Ovis aries: one gene and its partners. The protein of the gene in region 3 purifies or fractionates together with the protein of the main gene of each other region. This does not show direct contact. Links are inferred from orthologs where the notes say so. Each region holds a gene or a part of one and is shown on either strand. Other genes may lie near its edges. The genes, in order: ACVR1B, RNF111, SMAD7, TGFBR2 and USP15.

Region 1 (4,308 bases), on a different chromosome or scaffold from region 3:
AGCACTTATAAGAATATACAGAGGCAGAGCACTATAAAAATAAGGTGTTTGATCATTCAGTTACTGATCAATGTGTAGACAGTGCCTCTGTAAAACTTTGCATGTGTGTGTTTGTGTGTGAGTGGTGTCTGGGGTGTCTGCAGCCTAGTTTTTTTCTTTATATTAGGAGGGGTATTCTTCAGGTTGGTAACAGCTTTGAAGGTGAGGATTCCATTTGAGAAGCTCCACCTTCCCACTCCCACCTTTCGGCATCCTCTCCACTTCTAATTCTCATTTGATGAGACTCTGCTAATGGGGGTTAAAAAATCTGCCCAAGTTTCCATGCCAGTTAGTAAGAAAACGAGAATTCAGATCCAGAACTCTGGGTCCAAAACTCTGTCCTTTTCATGATTTCAAACTCTTTTAAAGTGAATATTTTCAAAAAGATATGAGCGATTCAGTTTACCGTTAATAAGCATTTCCCCCTAAATTTGAAAGTAACAGTAGCTTATTTGCAAAATATTTAGAAAATACTGAAATGTTTAAAGAAAAAATAAAAAAATTATTCTGGTGATAACTTCAGATATTGACTAAGTTCCTATCAGTCTTTTTTCCTTGCAGTTATACAGTATCAACAAAATCAGAACAATACTGTAAGTAGTTTTCTATTTTGCTTTCTCATTTAGCATTATCTCATGAGTATCTCCTCACATCATTATTTTTACAAACATAATTTTTAATTAGTAAATAATGTTTCATCGTATGGACGGGACATAATTTGTTTTCTATACTATTTGTTTTCAGCTTTTACAGTGATAAACAAGTAATAGTTAACATTTCTCACAAAAACCTGTCCTCATCTCTATTATTGCTTGAAGATGGGAGGCTGGGGTATGAACATTTTAAGACATTTGATACACAATGCCAAGTTGTTTACTAAAAGGTTTCTACCTACCAACAGCACGGGAGTGCTTCACGCAGCACCCTCACCAAGACTGAATACTGTCATTAAAAAGCCCTGTACGTTCTGAGAAGGGGCATCCCATGATTCGATCACACACGTGGCTGTGCGTCCTGCGGATCGCAGGGGGCCACTGGGAATGGGAGACTAATTAGGAGATGGTTGCGACGATCCCAGTGGGATGTGATGGGTGCTTGAGGCTAAGCAGTAGGCATGAAGGAAAAGGGAACAAGCGCACGGGACTCGTAGAACGTTCTATGCGAGGGATGGGGGTCGGTGCTGATAAGATCACGCCGCGCTGCTGGGGGTGCAGAACTGGGCGGAGGCCGCGTGTGTGGGGCTCGGCCTCCGCGCCGTGCTTGGCACTCACGGGTGAGGTTGGCCGAGGCGCGAGCCCCTCCCACCCCTTTAACGGGGACACTCCCCTTTAAGGCGGGCGCCCGCGCGCACCCGGCCCCGCCCTTCGGGGGCGCGCGCGGCGGCCGCGGCGCCGGCTCCGCCGGGAGCGCACGTGCCGGCGCCGGGTGGAGGAGAGGGAGGCGGGAGCCGGGCCGCGGGAGGAGGGGAGGCGCCGGGGGCGCGCGCGCGCGCGCTGGGCGCTGCTGGGCTGCGGCGGCGGCGGCGGCGGCGGCGGCGGCGGCGGCGGCGGCGGTTACTATGGCGGAGTCGGCCGGAGCCTCCTCCTTCTTCCCCCTTGTTGTCCTCCTGCTTGCCGGCAGCGGCGGGTCCGGGCCCCGGGGGATCCAGGGTGAGTCCCGGGGCGGGGCGGGGGCCGGGATGGAGCGGGCCGGGCGAGGGCGAGGCCTCGCGCCGCGGCCCCTGGCTACAGCGCGCCCCCTCCCCACGCGCACAATATGGCCGGGCGGGGGGCGCGGGGGAGTCGCGGGGACCCCTCACCTGGGTCGGCTTCCCCCGATCCCCGAGGCGCGGCCGCCTCGCCGGGACCGAGCTCACGCCGGGCCCCTGGGGACCCGAGCCCTTTCCCAGGAGGGACTGGATCTGGGGAGCTCTCGAGGGTCGCGCTCCCAGCACCCCCATGTTCCATGGAAGGGAGTGCAGGCTTCCTTCCCCGAGGTTTGGAGATCCACGTTTCTGCCGCTCAGCATGTCCAGGGGCGGGGGTCTTCATTCCCTCCCTCCAGATGCTCCAGGGGGGAGTTGGGGGGGGGCGCCTTTTCTCCCGCCAAGATTGTGGGGCTTCGGCGATGGGGTCTTTGCTCCTCCGAGGTATCCTGACGTTGAGAGCCCTTGCGCACCATAGATAAAAGGGGAAGGGGGTCTTCAACCTTTCCGTCAGCTCCCTCCTGCAGTTGGGGTGCTTCTTCCCCTCCCTCTCCTTCCTCCCTGACGTTCTGGGAAAGCGAGTCACATTTCCCTCTCGGGCAGTCCCTTGAGTTCAGTGGGGCCAACCCCCCTCCTCCAGTCCACATGCCCCGGGGAAGCTCAGTGGAGGAAATGGGACGAACAGGCCCCTATCTGGAGCTTGGCTTTGGAATCTCTCTAACCCTAGGAGACCTAGTTCCAGAACGGTTAATCTGCATCTAGGTGTATTTGCTTTCTCCCTCGCCACTCCCACCCCACCTCAGGGGGTCCATTCTGCTGGTCACTTTGTGGATGCCTTTCAGGTGACATCCTGGAACCTGCCTCCCACCCCCAAGATTATTTAAAGACCCCACCACCAGACCAGCTGTTGGCCCTTGGTCAGGATTTATTTACCTTCCCACACCAGCCCTCTTCCCAACCCTTCCCCCTACGTCTTCCCCCACCCTTGCACACCCCTCACCTTCCAACTCCCACAGCCTTCTGCTCCCTGGCAGCACCCCCATCCTTCTCACTACCAAAGTGGTGCCTTTCTGTGGGACACTCAGTTGAGTGTCTCGTTTGTGAGGCTTTACGGGCTTGAGGAATGCAGATGAAACCCTAAAATATTTAAGGGAGTCGTCTCAACCCTGTGCTGGCATTGGGGTAGCAGATGAAGGTTATATTTGGCCTTTATATTGGAGTGATTATTGACCCGCAGTTGGAACTGGGAGAGACAGTCAGGACTGTCTTTGCTCCCGATGTGCAAAGCCTGCTGCTCTGACTTCTCAGCAGCCCCTAACCTTCTAGCAGCGCGAGATCAAGCGTGTGTTCCGTGGTTCTCTTCTCTCCACCAAAAAATAATGGTTCTCAGGCGGGTTCAGATCTCTTTCAGAAATGAGACAATCAACCAAAGACGCGATCCCGTTTTGGCGTCTCACAAACAAGTTCATTCCCTCCAGCCTTGATGTTTGTTTCCAGTGGTGCAGCCTGTGTGGTGGGGTCTTTGTTCACTGGTTAATGCTTCTGCTAAGGCTGTCGTGTGTGTTCCTGGATCTCGCTGCTCTGTGGCAGAGGTAACGCGCTGTGGGGTCTGATAGATGTGGTGAAGGTATGTGAACACAGCCTGACATTCGTGGTAAGTTAATGATTTTCATGAATAATGTATGCTGGGCCTTACTTTGGGGCCATGTTTTTGGAGTGTGTATCATGATGTTATTTCACTAGTAGGGTAGTAAATAAGGAGATTCAGCCTTCAGGTTTGTCATTTTACATGTGTATGACTAAATCTGTAAATTTCTTCCTTAGGAATTTTTATCCTGTTGCTAATGTATCTGAAATTCTTAACAGCCATTTCCCTCTTGGTTTGGTGTAGTGTCTGGTGGGATATTTCTTGTTGTCATGAGCCTAGTTAAGAATGTTTAATTGATGATCTATCTGGTTCTGAATGGGACAGGTTCATTTTTTTGGTAACCTTCCTAAAATGGATGTTTGTTGGGATGAGGATGGGTGGGCATAGTAGGGAGTTGGTTTCTTTTTTTGGTTAATTGGAAATTAGGTTGTGTATCCAGCAAACATTCTCGAAGGCCTTCAAACTTGGCCAGACACTACAGTTTTTTCCGGGACACATCTCGTTGCCAATAGTGCATGCTACAGAGACCACTGTTGCAAAAGGCTTAAAGTGAAGCATCAGTTCTGGGAACATAGAGGCTGTGAGATAACTAGAAGTTGATTACTGTCCTCCCCACGCTTCCTCTGTCGTGCTCCCCTAGGTGGGCCGGGAGGAGCAGCAGGGCCAGGCAGCCCTGATGCCTCTGAAGACAGGATGTGAGGAAAGCAAGGGATAGGTGTCTGTGTTAAATAGTGAACTAGTAGCAACTTAGTAAAAGGCCAGTGGTACAGAGCGCGAATTCCAGGTTATAAACTGCATCCATTTAATAGGTGGACCACATTCTAAGGCCTACCTTTGGCATTTTCACTTTAGCATTTAACAATGTAAAGCTGAATTAGTAGCAGGAGAACATGACATTCATTTTCTTAAGACAGAAAGCTGCAAGGGAGACATTTGAG
Region 2 (4,215 bases), on a different chromosome or scaffold from region 3:
TCTCCCCGACCTTCCTTTCTTTTTGGAGACAGATTTACAAAGTTCAAATCAATTAGACACCTGCTATTTTCATCACCGAATTTTTTTTTTTTTAATTTTCAAAAATCACTGCAGATGGTGACTGCAGCCTCCTTGGAAGAAAAGCTTTGACCAACCTAGACAGCATATTTAAAAACAGAGACATTACTTTGCCAACAAAGGTCCATCTAGTCAAAGCTATGGTTTTTCTAATACTCATGTATGGATGTGAGAGTTGTACCATAAAGAAAGCTGAGTGCGAAGAATTGATGCTTTTGAATTGTAGTGTCGGAGAAGACTTGAGAGTTCCTTGGACTGCACGGAGATCAAACCAGTCAATCCTAAAAGAAATCAGTCCTGAATATTCATTGGAAGGACTGATGCTGAAACTGCAATACTTTTGCTACCTGATGCAAAGAACTGACTCATTGGAAAAGACCCTGATGCTGGGAAAGATTGAAGGCAGGAGAAGGGGATGACAGAGGATGAGATTGTTGGATGGCATCACCTACTTGATGGACATGAGTTTGAGCAAGCTCCAGGAGTTGGTGATGGGCAGGGAAGCTGGGCATGCTGCAGTCCATGGGGTCACAGGGTTGGACTTGACTGAGTGACTGAACTGAATGGATTCTTTTTCCATATAGGTTATTACAGAATATTGAGTAGAGTTCCCTATGCTATTCAGTAGGTTCTTGTTGGTTATCCATTTTACAGATAGTGCTGTGTACATGTCAACCCCAAACGCCCCATCTATCCCTATTCCCAACCCCTTCCCCAAACCTCTAAGTTCACTCACTGGAATTTGAAAGGAAGTTTTACTGATTCCAAGGCCTACATCCCTTTTGCCTACAGCCTATTAATGCAAGTAATGAAGCATCTGTTGTCTCCTGATTTTTATAAAATAAGAAAACGTATATGATTGTACAGTTAGTTCCCAGGATATCTATTACCATTTTTTATCTGATTTTGAAAGCAAATTCACCTCAACGGTGATGATCTCATTGGTAAGGATGATTTGAGTACCATTTGCTGTGACAGACTAAACCATGGCGTTTTTGTTCATTACCTTAAGTATAGTTATTAATTCTGTGGTTGTAACTTTCAGTTATGAAAAAAATCAACCAAGATGTAGTCAATATTTTGTTTAATACTGAACGCATTTCAAAAATGAACATAAAACGAGCTTTAGGACTTCGTTAGGTTTCGGCAACAGACTGATAAGGCGAGTACAAAGGGGGAGGGCCAGCGAAGAGGGAGCCGGACGGTGAGAAACAGGCATCTGAGCAAGCGCAGAAACAAACAGATGTTAATGGAGGATTGAAGGCTACTGCGCTCTCACTTTGCGAACTGTCGTAAAGCTTTGAGTGTCGTGCTTCCTCGGTAGAGGAGGGATTGGTTAGGCGGCGGCGACTGGAGAGCAGCAGCAGTGGCGGCGACGGTGGCGAGGTGTTCGGTCTGCGCAGCATAGAAACGCCCGCAGTTTCGGGGAACGAGTTCCCGTGGGACCAAATTAGGCATTCTGACCCTAAGCCGGGTCAGCTGGGCCGAACCAGGCGCTGCCGCTGGTACAGTTTTGGTGGCGGTGACAGACGCTGCTCTTGACCGTAGGGGCCTCTTAGGCCAACATCTGAGGCGCAGATCACTGGCTCTCGACGCATCCTCTTCCCCGCTCACATCTCCTGTCTTCCTTCCTGGGCCAGCGATTCCCAGAGCCTGGGAAGAGGGTGGCTAATGATTCAGGTGAGGGGGCCGGGGGGAGGGGATCGATTGGAGGCCGCGCGTGCGCGCAACGGGGGAGGGGCCGGGCTGGAGGGGAGAAAGAGGAAGGGCTGCGGCCGCGGAAGGCTGGGGTCGGCGGCCGGCCGGTTACTGCTGGCTCCGTTGTGGCTTAGGGTCGAGGTTTCCGCGGAAGATTTAATTGTGTTTGACAGAGCGTTCGTCTACAGACACACCCACCCTCCTCAGTAAAGGACGGTGGGTGAGGGGATTTCTTTCCCCTTTTTGACTCTCTAGAGTCTTAGGACAGGGGCTGAGGACTGAGGCGTGGGAGTGCGATTTGACAATGGAGTGATGAAGGTAACCCGCACCCGGGGAGTTGGAGGGCGCTAAGGCAGCCCTGACGGTTAGGGAGTTGCCTCCTTCTGTGATCAAGGAAACGTAGACCGCAGAACAGCAGAAATACAGACGCGTCAGATTTTGTAAAGAGTTGGTTGGCTGGCCATTAAAAAAGCTTAATATTTTTATTATTATCATTATTTTTTTTTTACAGAGTTTATCAGAGCCGGTAGCAATGTTGTTGTGGAAATATTTGTGCTGCAGAAATGAGGTTTGTCACATAGTTCTTAAATAGGTTAGAGTAGATCTTTACAGATAACTTAACTCAGGTCTAAGTTTTAACATTTAAAAAAATACCAGGAAGTATAGGGTGTTCGTTTAATTTGTTCGTGTTTGTAGTGTGGGGTGACTCCATTGTATTGCATGCTTTCCTGTTTCTTGATTTATGTGCAGGATGAATTTAGAGCTCTCTGGGGAGATAAGATGCCAGCTGACATAGATTTCATTTTATAGTTCATAACGCTTTTTGTACCTGACTTAATCCAAACTTTATTTCATTTGGTGTTTTATGTTTAATTTTCTTGTTTTAGGGATCTCTTTAACCAAAAAGCACAGACTGGGAAAAAGATAACTAAGGTTCCATTTCCTTTCCCATTTCTGTTTTTTTTTTTTTTTTTGTCATTGCTTTCAAATGTTAGTATGTGATTTGGATATCACATACAAGTTTTAAAATACTGATTTCACTAGAGTGAAAGTCTACATTTTGATACTTTGTTACTGTATGTTTTTGGTAAAAATTTTCATGTCAGTGTAAGCAGTTATTTTTCATTTCAAACAATAGCGTTTAGTTGTGTTTATGAGACAGAACAAGTAGAACCCTTTCACTCGGAAAAGAATCTTAATTATTTTTTAATGCCTTGCTTTGTTTTACTCTCGTCCATCTCTTGTCATTTTAACCTTGGACAAATGACATCTCTCCTGTGCATTTATTTGCCTCTACAATTCCTACTAGTATTCTAAGAACTGACAAGGGTATTTATGAATAGGTCTGAATAATATTGTAGGGAAACTAGGAAGAGTAGAGCCTCTTCTTGTTTATCAGGGTTGCTGTATCTTATGTGTATGGATCTTTCTGTCACTTTCCCCCTTAGTGTCTTTCGGTCACTTGCATGTTAGTTCTTCACTGGAGTTGGTTTTTGAAGAAAGATAAAGTAAGAAATAATTTCGTTTTGAATGCATCATAGTGGAAGTTTCACCTTCACAGGTTTCACATCAGTACTCAATTTCTGCAAGTAGTTGAAAAATAACTATACTGATCTTTAATATAAGAAGTCAACAATTTACTTGTTTAAAATGAAGGAATAATCAGCAGATATTTCTAAATAGTTATTTTCAGTTTAAAATGTAAACTGGAATAGAAACTTGATTGAATCAAACCAGTTAGTTTTTTTCAGACGTTTATTGTATTATTTTGTCAAAAAGGGGTTTCTATAACATGCTTTACTTAGAGTATAATTACAGGTGTCCTTGTTTTGACTTTTCCTCTGGTGACTAGGATTTCAATAGGAAAAAAAGAAGTGACATTACTAAAAATGATGTAAAGAATATTATAACTTGATATTAGCATTCTATGAGTGACATTATCTTATGAAAGAGTATAGGGTTGGAGACAGGAGATACGGATTTTAGATGTAGCTTTGCTTTCTGTTCATTAGGTCTGTGACTTTGTATGACCACCCTGGGCCTCAGATCTCTCTCAGCTGTCAAATGAGAAGTGTGGGGCAGATAACTCTAGTTTTCTCCAGGTCTCAAATTTAATGGTTTGCATTTTTAGTTAGGTGTTTTTAGTATTAATTGTATTCATCATGACCCATTCCCCAGAAAGAAATGCTATCTGAAAATGTAAAATTCTTCCATGGTATATGTATATTAGAGATGGGGTGGGGGGAGGGAGAAGAAAAAAAGCGAGTGAGCTGTGGTCTAAATAATACTTCTGTCCCTTTGTAGATATTAACGCCTAATTTAATAGCTCTCATATGATACTAAAAAAAATGAAACTTTATTTTACTCCTGGTAATGTGCTTTAAATCATTCTGAATACATTTTCTTTCAGAAACCTGTAATCATTGTTCAGTAAAAGTC
Region 3 (3,283 bases):
TCTGGGCTGTGACACCAGGGTGCATGCTGTGATTTGGCGTGGAGACGTGAACTCACCCTTTGTGTACAGATCTGCTGCTGACGAACACGCTGAAAGTTGTGTTTCTATTAAGAAGCTAGTTGTTTTTTTTCACCCTAAACCACCTCCACTAAAGTTTTTCTGGACAGTGATCCCTTATGACCAAGGCACTGATCTGAGAACCGGGTGACAGGCTCAGAGACTCTAGCAGGTGTTCCTGGGGTCCAGGTCTGGCTCTTTCGTCCCTGGAGCCTGAGAGAAAAAAAGCTTTCTGAGTCCAGGTTTTCTCATGAGGATGACTTGAGGCTGGAGCCTCTGGCCTTCAAGGTTCCATCCCGTTGAAAAGAACTGAAATTCTGGACCATCCATGTATAACACCTTCTCTAGCCCTAAAACCAGGGCCAGCCAACTTACTGAGAGGTCTTTGCTTCTGGGCTCTGCAAGGATGGGGCTTTGGCTTTGGCCAGGTGGGCACATGTCCTGTGTTCTTGATAGAGTCGGGGGGATGGGGGGGATGAAGGGAAGAGACTCCCCAGTGAGCCCCGTGCATAGAGGCAAGGCTTTTCCATCACGGGGTCGAGCTTTCCAGACTCCCCGTAGGAGGACTGTCCAGCCTGCATCACAGCCAGCCACCTCATACCTCCTCCTGTCTTGCACCGAAACAAAGACCAATCATGGGGGTGTATGTATGTGTGTGTCTTGGTTTCAGGAGGAAGAGGAGAAGGCCAGTCTGCATCACCACTGATTAGGTCTGCCTTTTTTCTGTCTGTTTTCCAGATTCCCAACTTCTTCTGGAGCCTGGGGATCGGTCACACTGGTGCGTGGTGGCATACTGGGAGGAGAAGACGAGAGTGGGGAGGCTCTACTGTGTCCAGGAGCCCTCCCTGGACATCTTCTATGATCTACCTCAGGGGAATGGCTTTTGCCTCGGACAGCTCAATTCGGACAACAAGAGTCAGCTGGTGCAGAAAGTACGGAGCAAAATCGGCTGTGGCATCCAGCTCACGCGGGAAGTGGACGGCGTGTGGGTGTACAACCGCAGCAGTTACCCCATCTTCATCAAGTCAGCCACACTGGACAACCCGGACTCCAGGACGCTGTTGGTACACAAAGTGTTCCCCGGTTTCTCCATCAAGGCTTTTGACTACGAGAAGGCGTACAGCCTGCAGCGGCCCAACGACCACGAGTTCATGCAGCAGCCGTGGACTGGCTTCACCGTGCAGATCAGCTTCGTGAAGGGCTGGGGCCAGTGCTACACTCGCCAGTTCATCAGCAGCTGCCCGTGCTGGCTGGAGGTCATCTTCAACAGCCGGTAGCCACGCGGGGAGAGGGCAGAGCGGGGGCAGAGCGGGCCCAGTCCAAACTACTTTGCTGCTAATATTTCCCTCCTGAGTGCTTGCTTTTCATGCAAACTCTTTGGTCATTATTCCCCCCCCCCCCCCCCCCCCACCGCCTACCCTCCTTCTCGTCGTCCTTGTTTATGTTGTTTTGTTCTTTGAGAAATAGCTTATGAAAAGAATTCTTGGGGTTTGGAGGGGCGGAGAGTGGTATGGTTGGCAGAACACTGCTATACGAAAAAGGGGAAGCAAAAAAATCAGCACCACCATATACCGTGTAAATGGGGAGCAGGCCCCACCCTTGGGGCCATCACTACCCTTGTCAGAGGGTGGGGTGTGCGTGCGTCAGTGCGTCTGTGCGTGCACGTATGTAGACGAGGGAAAGTGGTGTGCTCTGTTTCCTACGCGTGTTGCCTGCTGAGAGGTTTGTGTCTCCTTTGCCCTTTGGACAGGCTCAGTGGGGCAGCGGGTGTCCCAGCAGAAGGCTCTGTCCCCAGAGCCTGGGGAAGCCCCCACCCCGCCTTGCCCCTTCTCGGACATTGGCCTGTCCGAAGGCTTCTCCGAAGCCGCCCCACCAGAGGCCGGACCAGAACCCGTTTCCTCCTGCTGCCTCACTCCCCTCTGGCCACCCCGCTGCCATCGTCATAGCTGTCTGTCTCGGCCATCTGCTCCTGGACATCTCTGGGATGGGCTTCCCAAGGGTTGCCGGGGCAGCCCCGTCACAGTATTGCTCACCCAGCGCCCTCTCAGGCCCCTCCGCCTCTCCCCTGCCCTGGTTACATCAGGTTTTTCCTGGACTCACAAAGCCAGCTCAGCACTTTCCTCCCCTCCGCAGCCTGTGTTGAGCTCCGCTGTTAGACCAGCGAGGGGAGCAGCCCTCTACCCCCCACCCCCTACCCCTTCCCACCAAGAAGGAGTCGGTCCATCTTAACCCAAGGTACCATCCTGAGCTGACGCCTAACCAACTCATACACTCGTATGATACGTTGACACTGCTCTTAGCTCAATGAGCATGTTTAGACTTTAACATAAGCTATTTTTCTAACTACAAAGGTTTAAATGAACAAGAGAAGCATTCTCATTGGAAATTTAGCATTGTAGTGCTTTGAGAGAGAAAGGACTCCTGAAAAAAAAAAAAAACCCTGAGATTTATTAAAGAAAAAATGTATTTTATGTTATATATAAATATATTATTACTTGTAAATATAAAGACGTTTTATAAGCATCATTATTTATGTATTGTGCAATGTGTATAAACAAAATAAAGAAAAGATGCACTTTGCTTTAATATAAATGCAAATAACAAATGCCAAATTAAAAAAAGATAAACACAAGATTGGTGTTTTTTTCTATGGGTGTTATCACCTGGCTGAATGTTTTTCTAAAGGAGTTTATGTTCCATTAAACAGTTTTTAAAATGTATACTTGATTCCATGTTGTCCTCCAGCTCCTTTTTCTTCTGACGGGGGGAGGGTGGGATGCAGCCATCAGAATCCAGGACTCTTGGGAGTCTCCCAGAGCTTGGTGGGGGAGGAAGCCTGGCCGGGGGAAGCAGAGAAGGGAGAGACATCCAGAACCGCTTGGTCTTTCTCAGATCCTTAGGCAGATGTCCTCAATTTGTAACGGGTCAACCTTGGGGAGCCCTCAGTTGCAAGGGCAGCTGATTTCTTAAAGCCTGAAGAGTTGAGAAAAGGGGATGTCATCTCAAATGACGGGGAGGAGGTTGCCCTGAGAGAGGTAAAGCCCCAAGCGCTTGGGCCCCTTGCTTCCTGCTTGTTAACGCCTCGATTTACATTAAATCCTGAGACTAGTGCAACTTTCCCAGAGGAAGGTCACTGCCACCCTGGGTTCCAGGACAGATTCCCTGAGGGCTGAAGCCCTGGGGTTGAGATGAGGCGGGGGCTCAGTGGTAGTGGGTGGAGGTCTCT
Region 4 (3,967 bases), on a different chromosome or scaffold from region 3:
AGGGAAGATGGCAGGGTTGGGTTTCCAGGGAGAGCTAGTTGCCTTTATTCCCAGTAACGCTGGCCACCGGCCTCTGCAAACAAGCTTTCTCTCAGATAAAAGAGTTTTATTGTGCAACCTGCTGGAAGATCTCCTGACCAGAGGGCTGTACTGAATCTAAATCTTTCAGGGCTAGAAGTAGGGTGAGCATATCTAACCAGGACACATGGGAAAGAGAAGCAGGGCCTGCTAAAAATTCAACTTTGAAGCAAATATACACCAGGATTGTGTGGGGGCGAACCTGGCCACCTTACCAAGATGGGGAAGTTGGAAGTTCAGCCTGTTCTGCTCTCACCCATGTCCCCTTTTGCAGGGAGGGGCTCAGGGTCCTGTCCTATCACAGACCCTGGCACTTAGCTGACCCCAGGCCACTGTTACTCTCACACTTTCTGCCCTACCCGATACATTCTGAAGATAACACTTCCCCTTACAGTTATCACTCCGTGATGGGTTGTATTAGTAACTGCTCACTGCCAGAGAGAGAGTCGATTCCAACTGGGAGGCATCACCCAAGAGCTCATCAGAAATGCTGCCTCTTAAGACATGCTGAAGCAGAAGCCGCCTTTTAACACGATTTTCAGGGGGTCCGTGGGTACACTGAAGTGTTCCACCTGCAGTAAAGATAAATATTTTACAATGTGACAAGGTAGGCAAACACAATTAATTGAAACGAAAGTCTAATGAGGAAATACTACTTTAGTAGGGGAAAAACAGCTTGTGCTAACAACTCGGATTTCAGCATCTACTCTTGGGTAGCCACTCGAAGTTTGAAAACCCCGCTCTGAGGCACTTCGGAGCAGCCCGAAGAGGGATGTAGGGAAGTGGGAGGATGCTTGCTGGGGGTGCTCTGGAGAGTGCGCATACACCCTGCGTTCAGTGACTTTCTGGAACTTGTGCGCTTATTGCTCAGCAGTCCTCGGGGCGGGGAACGTGGAGGGCAGCGAGGGGCCGCTGAAAGTTTGCCAAAGCCCCGGAGGGGCCGGTCCCGGGGCCGTGATTGGCAGCTGCGAGAGAGGGCGAGGGCCGGGAGCCGAGCCGCGGAGCAGGCTCCGGGCGGCGAGAGGTCCTGCCCAGCTGTTGGCGAGGAGTTTCCTGTTTCCCCCGCGGCGCCCGGGCGAAGTCGTGAGTCACTCGCACGCCGGGCCCGACGACACTCCGCGCGCGCACCCGCCGGCCGGGCCGGCCTCCAGCTCCGCTCCCCTCGGCCGCCGGGTCCCCCCGCGCCTCGCCCGCCGCCGCCTCCCCGCGGCCCGCGCCGCCACATCTGGCCGCACCGCTGCTGGGCGCCCGCGCGGGTGCGGAGGGCGCGGAGGCGCGGCGTGCGCGCTCGGGCCGGTCTATGCGGAGCGGCGGGGGCTGCCATGGGCCGGGGGCTGCTCGGGGGCCTGTGGCCGCTGCACGTCGTCCTGTGGACGCGCATCGCCAGCACGATCCCGCCGCACGTTCCCAAGTCGGGTGAGTGGCTCCCCGCCCGGACTTGGCGCCGGGGTCCCCGGGTCCCCGCCGGGCTGCGCTTGACAGTCGGCCTGGGAGGCGGGCCGAAGCCGGGACGCGGCCTGGGTCCCCGTGCCCCGGTGCCTTGTGCTGGGACGGGTGGGCTTTGCTTTCCCAAGGCCAGGAAAGTGGCTTCGGCGGGGGGCGCGCGGGGCGCCCGGTCCCCTTTGTGCGGGCAGGAAGGGCGCTGCGTCCCGGGCCGCCCCCACCCCCGGAAAGGGAAGTTTGAGAAGTTGGTGATCGGCGGAGGCAGGACGCGGCGGGCCGCGGAGTGAGCGGCGGGCACACCTGGTCCGGGCCTGGGGTGGCCCAGCGCCCCGAGAGGGCAGGGTCCCCCATTCTCTGCTCCTTCCCAGGGTCACATGCCTCCGGACCGGCCTCTTGGCCCGGAGTAACTTTAGCAAAGTTTCGAGGAAGAGAGCGATTGCCAAAGGAAACTTGTCTGGTTCCACTTGGGGTAGGCATGGATGAGGCCAGAGGGGGAGCTTGTCAGGTGGAAGGCGGAGTGTTTACCGACTGCCTGCTAGGTGCTGGGTGCCTGAGATGTTGCCGGGAGCAGGACAGCCCCGCCTTCGGGCTTGAAGGCTCTCTGCAGTGGTTTGGTGGAAACAGAGGGGTTAAAATCTTAAATACCCCTGCCCACCTGATCTTGATGTCTAGAGGGTTTTGAGGGGAGGAAAATGCAGAAATTGCGCTCTTAAGGATTTGTTATGAAAAGTATCCAACCCCTGAGACCTCGACAGTTAGAAATTTTGCAACGCGTAGCTGCAGACCTGAGTATATGCATCTGGGATCTGGTAACAGACCCAGAGTCTTTGGACCGTCGTGGGCCTCAGTCTCCTCGTGTGCGGAAGGACGCGGTTAGGTCTGGATCGTTTTAGCTCCCTTCATCTTTATCGTCTTGTGTCTCTCTCCTTGCTTTTGATGACTTGGAGATGCCCCGCGGGGAGCAGGGATGAAATGTGGAGGGTCGGACAGCCCCCTGCCCTCTCGAGGACACATTCTGTTTACCAAGGGCCAGAGGCAGAGCACGCTTGGTTTCATCTGGAAGAAATGGGGAGGGGTTCCTACACGGGACATTCCCTAGTCCTTGAAGCGGACGGACAGCTTTCAAGAATGATGTTTTATGCTGAAGGTGGCATGGAGATGGGAGTTTTTAATAGAACGAGGAAGAAGCAATATTGTAAACAAAAAGATCCTAACACAAATTTGAGATCTACGGTTTACTAACAGTCCACTGTTTTATTCTTGGGTGCTTTCTCGCATTGCAGTACCAGAATGTTTGACTCTCTGATTATACTCCAGACTCTTAAAAAACCAAGTTATATTTTGCTAATATTTTAAATGGCACCCTTAGTTTTCAGTTTACATTAGAAATGATTAAAACTTTTGTTTCAATTTATGAAAGAAGGAAATTAGTGGGCCCTGATTCTGCTCAGGTTTGTTTACAAGGATCAGATTTATGATTTGCAAATTCCAGACCCAGTAGTTCATGAGTCAGTCTCAGTTCATCTATATACACACTTTTAAACAATTAGCTTAAAAGCCAACTGGCTTTTTATTTGGGCTTTTAAACAGCATTACAAAACCCACAGATTTCATATTTTTATGGAATTAAAGCCACAAAATGGTTTAACCCTTGTAATTGGTATTCATTTGAAGTTAAATTTTTGAAGATAGTTAAAGGTCAAAGGTAGCTGTAATCAAGATAGGCAACCTAATTCCACTTGTATATAATTTTCCATGGACGTCAGTGGTTTCAGGATTTTCCTAACATAATTAGTAACCTGTCATGACATTTTTTCAGTATATCTTAATGCATAGTTAGGGAAGAAATAAGATTTTTTTATAGCCTTCTTTTGGGTTACGTAAAAAAAAATTCCATCTTATGCTTAGGATATTGACAGGTGAGCCAAGGATTTCAGTGCACGGACAAACTTCACTAAGCTATATGCTTAAAGGTATCTGAGTTTTTGTTTTTGACTTAGTAGACTCACTTATCCGAAATGCCTCAAATTAAGTAATTGCTCTTTGGGGGACAACTTTAAATGTCTGAAAACTCTTCAGATCTGAAAAATATAACTTTTACTTTTCAAATACCTAACAGGATATCCTTGTTGAGGACTCAGTGTGGATGAAAATGTCAGTACAGATAAATTTCTTTTCCCAAATCACTGCTGATTTTGTCAGGGTTCTGGAAACCACTAGGCCTAGAATTTGGTCTATTTGCTTTTGTTCCCAGAAAGCACATTTCTTACCTCTAGGCCACTTGCATTAATGACATCTTATTTTTAAGCAGTTGCGGTTTGTATAAGATGCTCATCACATTTTGGATGCCTGGTCTTTTTTTCAGGGCAGCACCCCACCTTGAAACACTGCTGTCTGTAGAACCAGCATGCCTGCTACATGGTCTCCATTTGCATTATCAACACAA
Region 5 (4,282 bases), on a different chromosome or scaffold from region 3:
CAGCAGGAACTGGAAGCTGTTTTCAGACTTTCAAATCAAGGATGCAAGAATACAAAATAGTATTACTTCAAAAAAAAAAAGCAATCCTAATGCTGATACACACAAATTATACTACCCTGACTTGGAAGGGTTCAACACTTATTAGTATATTACACCCATTTTCTGCATTCCCACCAAATGAGTTAGCATAGAGGCTGAAAATTAAACGAGAGATCATGCTGGAATTCTTATCCATCCTTTAGACTTTTCACATCATGTTATCTTACAGTCAAATCGCTGGACATCTTCATGCTTGGAATTACTTACGCAGTTTTGCCACAATTCATTTCTGAAACACATATTTAGGTCATTCTTGTTAGGCAGCACTAGGTGTACAAAGCGCTAGCCACTAGATGTACAAAGGGGTTGTTTTTTGTTTGTTTTAAATGAATTAGTGCAGCCTAGTTTCTATGTTAGTTTAGGCTTTCGTGGGGTCGCAAAGAGTCGGACACGACTGAGCTGAGCTGAAGGAGTGGTAATTAGTGTACTATACTGGACAGCGAGCCAGTGTGCACGTGAAGCTGGATTATAAACTGGCCTCTCCACTTGCTGTGTGACCTTGGCATTTGATTGTTGAGACTCGATTTTCCCCTTTTTGACATAATCGGCTTCAACTAATTGCTGGTATTAGCTACTTTCAAGTGCACACACCATGGGAAGGTGTGGCTAGGAATACGTCACTTCACAGTATCTAGGAGAATGGGTTTCTTGCCTGTTTTGGCTCCTTTACTTTAGTACCTGGCACTATTCGATACATATTTTACACCTTGTTCACCGAGGAACTGGAACATGTTTTTCACTGCAGCTTAGCTATCTGGGTGTGCCTGGGGAGGCGTCACAAAGAGCCTATAAAAGGTCTCCACCTACAGCAGGAGTAGGAGCGCAAGAAAGCCCAGAAAGAGCGCTGCGGCTAAGCGTTCGGCTTCGGGTCGCTAGATTTGGCCCAATCTTCACCGAGTTTAGGTTCTGAGACTCGCAACGGAGAGACTCGAGTCACAGACCTGTTACAAATTTTCTGCCATATTTCAGCCGTCCCCACGCCCCCCGCCCCGCCCCACCCTCAAGCGTGAGTGAATGCGCAAATAAGGGTTTTCAGGCGTCTGTGGGAAAGACGGAGGGGACGGCAGAAGGCAGGATGGACAGGGCGGTGGCACCGCTCAAATGAGCCAGGATCCAGGCCCCACAGCAGAAAGTTAAAACCAGGCGTTCCCGGGTCGTAGGAGGCCGAGGCGAGCTGCTGGACGGGCGGGGGCCGATGCGAGGCAGCCGACCACGGCGGAGCACTCACTCCGCCCGGGGCCAACGCCGGTCCGGAGGCGCACCCCCCCCCCCGCCTTACGTCTCGTTTGGTTTCGACCTGCCGACTGGGAGGGGCCGCGGGACGCCATTCCCACAATGCTCTGGGGCGTGCCGCCGCCGTCGCTGCCGCCTCCGCTGCCGCTAGTGGAAGAAGATGGCGGAAGGCGGAGCGGCAGATCTGGACATCCAGCGGTCTGACATCGCGACGCTGCTCAAAACCTCGCTCCGGAAAGGGGACACCTGGTGAGGGAAAGAGGTTGAGGTGGCTGCGGTTGCCCGAAGATGGTGGGGGACTCGGTGGGAACTGCGGGCTGGTGTCTCGCTGGTGACAGGTGCGGGCAGGTCCGGCGGCGGCCGCCTCAGGCAGCAGGATTTTGGCCGCTTCCGCAAGGTTGGGGCAAAGACTGGACCCGAAATGAGGGCCACGGTTCATGGCTCGTCGAGGCATGCTGAAAGGCTTGCGGGGAGCGGCGGCGGCGGCTCGTGCGGTTCTCCTTGTCCTTCTTCCTCTGGTTGTGCCGCTCCCACTTCAGGCCTTCCCGAACGATAGGTTACTCTCGTTCAGTGTGAGACTCTCACTTAATGTTTGACAGGTCCTGGTCTCGCGGCTAATCACGATCTCACCCGCTTCACTTCTTTAGTCATTTCCTTTCCCTGCATTGTCGGCATCCAAGTTCCCCTATTCTGATTCTCGTATTCTTCCGGGAGGCCGGCTGCAGGATGTTTGCGGTTCTTACTACACAGGTGGCATGTGTCAGGGCGCCGCTTAAGAGAAAGGAACCTAGTTCCTAGTTCCTTGTCAAAAGGAGGGAGAGGAGTACTGAACCTTAGGCTTCTGAGTGGTACCACGTGGTCTTGTGCTTTAGTGGAGGCTTGATAGACGCCAGCAGCGTTTCTCTTAGAAGTGCAGTCCTTCCCTCTCACTGGAAGGATAAGTTAGGCCTGCAAGAAGTAGATAAGTCCACTTGAAGCTTCAGTCACTTGCTAACATTCAAACTTATAAAATACCAAGGGATATACTTAAAATATCGAAGGAAGTATTTGTAGATTTTAATATTTGTGGGCCATATCAAGTGGTAATCAAAATAACTTAAGTATGTGAATATGTAACCTAAAATGCTCTGTTTCATTAGGAAGGATCATGTGCTTCTTTATTATAATAAAAGTTATTTTCACTTTTCCATCGTCACCATAACAGTTGTGTATAATATGCAGCGTGTTTTTTCATTTCCTCATTATGGCTTAGTGGAAGGAGGGTAAGATTTAGACTCGTTAGGTTAGCCTTTCCACCACTTAGCTTGCAGTGTGACTTTGAGGAAAGTTAATTCAAATTGCATCTCAATGATTTCATCTACGAAATGGACAGAATAATTTCATTTAGGGGTTTATCCTGATTCAGTGAAATAGTCTACAAGATTTTCTGCCTTGATATAACATTAAGTTTTAGTTACCTTCTTATCACCACCATTTCTGTTAAAATGCTGTGGTATTAGAATCATTGTCAAGTAAGCTAGAATCACTGTCAAGTAAGCTAGTAGATGACAGACTTGGGACTTGAATTTAAATACTTTGGTCCAAGTTTTGGTACTTTTTCTTATTTTGTTAGGCCACACTGTAAGTTTTATATGATTAAAAATCCCTGAGTGTAAACATATACGTGTTGGATTACAGCAAAAAATATGGTTTAATAATCATTTTGTTCATAAGGGAGTGTTCCTATGATGTTAATTACTGGGGAAATTGGACATTTCCTAGGACATTTTTATTTACCTTTTCCTGTGAATTGTAAAAAATGAAATCAATCCTTCTTCTTGTTTGTTAAAGAACATTTTAACATTCTTAATTTACCTTGCCTAATACCACCTTATACAAAGGTAAATGTGGATTTTCATGAAATACAAGTCTACAATTTAATATATTTGTTGATGTTCAGTCGCTAAGTTGTGTCTGACTCTTTGTGACTCCATGGACTCTAGTGCGGCAGGCTTCCCTGTCCTTCTCTGTCTCCTGGAGTTTGCTCTAACTCATGTTCATTGAGTTGGTGATGCTATTTAATTTAATATATAGATATTACTTTTATGTATATTACTCCTTGTTACTGTTGTTGTGGTTTTGATATACTGAGTAATAATTGGTGGTGTTAACCATAAAGGATGACCAAAGCAGTATGGATATTGTGACCATTAAAGTTTAGCATTTTTATTTTTGACAAAGTTACTGTAAATCATTTTAAAGATCTGTTGATATTTATAAGAGTAAATACAGGAAGTTCATAAATTTGAGGCATTTTAGTGCTTCCATCTTAAAAGAAAACTGAGGCCCAGACATTTAATTAACAGCAGAATATGCAAACTTTTATCCTCACAATTGATTTCCCCTCTCATTTACAGGAAAAAAATACAGGAAAAGATGGTACTGGGATGCTCCAGAAACTAATTTGGTTTATATGTGAGCCAGTTTACTTGGAATTAGCAAGTGAAACCTATCAAAAAAGGAATTAGCAAAAGTTTAATTCAGAATTTTAAGGAGAATAATTTAAGTATGAATTTGATAATGTGTTCATGAGTACAGAATTCGTAAAGATATTTAATGGTTTAGTTGTCGCTTAGGTTCATGTTTTTGGTACTCATTAAAACTTGTTAAACAGTTATTTCTCTTTTTAAAGTCTTAAAAAAGCCTTGGGTTAGTCATTTATGGGTGGGCAAATTATGTTTGTTTTTTAATAGCTGAAATGGGCCGTATGCAAATGAAACATTTTCTTGGCATATGTATGTTACCAACTTGAAAAGACTGATTGGACTATTAAGAAAAAATGATAGATTTACCATGAGTTTATTCTTGAAATGTTAATAGTAACATTTCATGTTATAGTCAAATACATTCAAGTAAGTAAAGATCATTAATTAGGTTGTGAGCACTTTGCAGAAAAGGACTGCCTCTTACT

Evidence for each region.
Region 1: the proteins of SMAD7 (region 3) and ACVR1B purify together in Homo sapiens (affinity purification with western blotting; 3 studies listed by BioGRID and IntAct, with this or other methods). This does not show direct contact. The link is inferred for Ovis aries from reciprocal best matches to the Homo sapiens genes SMAD7 and ACVR1B.
Region 2: the proteins of SMAD7 (region 3) and RNF111 purify together in Homo sapiens (affinity purification with western blotting; 3 studies listed by BioGRID). This does not show direct contact. The link is inferred for Ovis aries from reciprocal best matches to the Homo sapiens genes SMAD7 and RNF111.
Region 4: the proteins of SMAD7 (region 3) and TGFBR2 purify together in Homo sapiens (affinity purification with western blotting; 3 studies listed by BioGRID). This does not show direct contact. The link is inferred for Ovis aries from reciprocal best matches to the Homo sapiens genes SMAD7 and TGFBR2.
Region 5: the proteins of SMAD7 (region 3) and USP15 purify together in Homo sapiens (affinity purification with western blotting; 3 studies listed by BioGRID). This does not show direct contact. The link is inferred for Ovis aries from reciprocal best matches to the Homo sapiens genes SMAD7 and USP15.

What each region holds. Positions count from the first base shown.
Region 1 is NC_056056.1:134,372,163-134,376,470, reverse strand, and holds the start of ACVR1B (activin receptor type-1B), read left to right. Parts: upstream 1-1,498; 5' UTR 1,499-1,597; coding exon 1,598-1,688; intron 1,689-4,308. UniProt on the Homo sapiens protein: Transmembrane serine/threonine kinase activin type-1 receptor forming an activin receptor complex with activin receptor type-2 (ACVR2A or ACVR2B).
Region 2 is NC_056060.1:49,459,529-49,463,743, reverse strand, and holds the start of RNF111 (E3 ubiquitin-protein ligase Arkadia), read left to right. Parts: upstream 1-1,407; 5' UTR 1,408-1,758; intron 1,759-2,287; 5' UTR 2,288-2,339; coding exon 2,340-2,344; intron 2,345-4,215. UniProt on the Homo sapiens protein: E3 ubiquitin-protein ligase. Required for mesoderm patterning during embryonic development. Acts as an enhancer of the transcriptional responses of the SMAD2/SMAD3 effectors, which are activated downstream of BMP.
Region 3 is NC_056076.1:48,924,120-48,927,402, reverse strand, and holds the end of SMAD7 (mothers against decapentaplegic homolog 7), read left to right. Parts: intron 1-795; coding exon 796-1,334; 3' UTR 1,335-2,777; downstream 2,778-3,283. UniProt on the Homo sapiens protein: Antagonist of signaling by TGF-beta (transforming growth factor) type 1 receptor superfamily members; has been shown to inhibit TGF-beta (Transforming growth factor) and activin signaling by associating with their receptors thus preventing SMAD2 access.
Region 4 is NC_056072.1:5,138,017-5,141,983, forward strand, and holds the start of TGFBR2 (TGF-beta receptor type-2), read left to right. Parts: upstream 1-1,161; 5' UTR 1,162-1,400; coding exon 1,401-1,494; intron 1,495-3,967. UniProt on the Homo sapiens protein: Transmembrane serine/threonine kinase forming with the TGF-beta type I serine/threonine kinase receptor, TGFBR1, the non-promiscuous receptor for the TGF-beta cytokines TGFB1, TGFB2 and TGFB3.
Region 5 is NC_056056.1:157,401,933-157,406,214, reverse strand, and holds the start of USP15 (ubiquitin carboxyl-terminal hydrolase 15), read left to right. Parts: upstream 1-1,481; 5' UTR 1,482-1,492; coding exon 1,493-1,581; intron 1,582-4,282. UniProt on the Homo sapiens protein: Hydrolase that removes conjugated ubiquitin from target proteins and regulates various pathways such as the TGF-beta receptor signaling, NF-kappa-B and RNF41/NRDP1-PRKN pathways.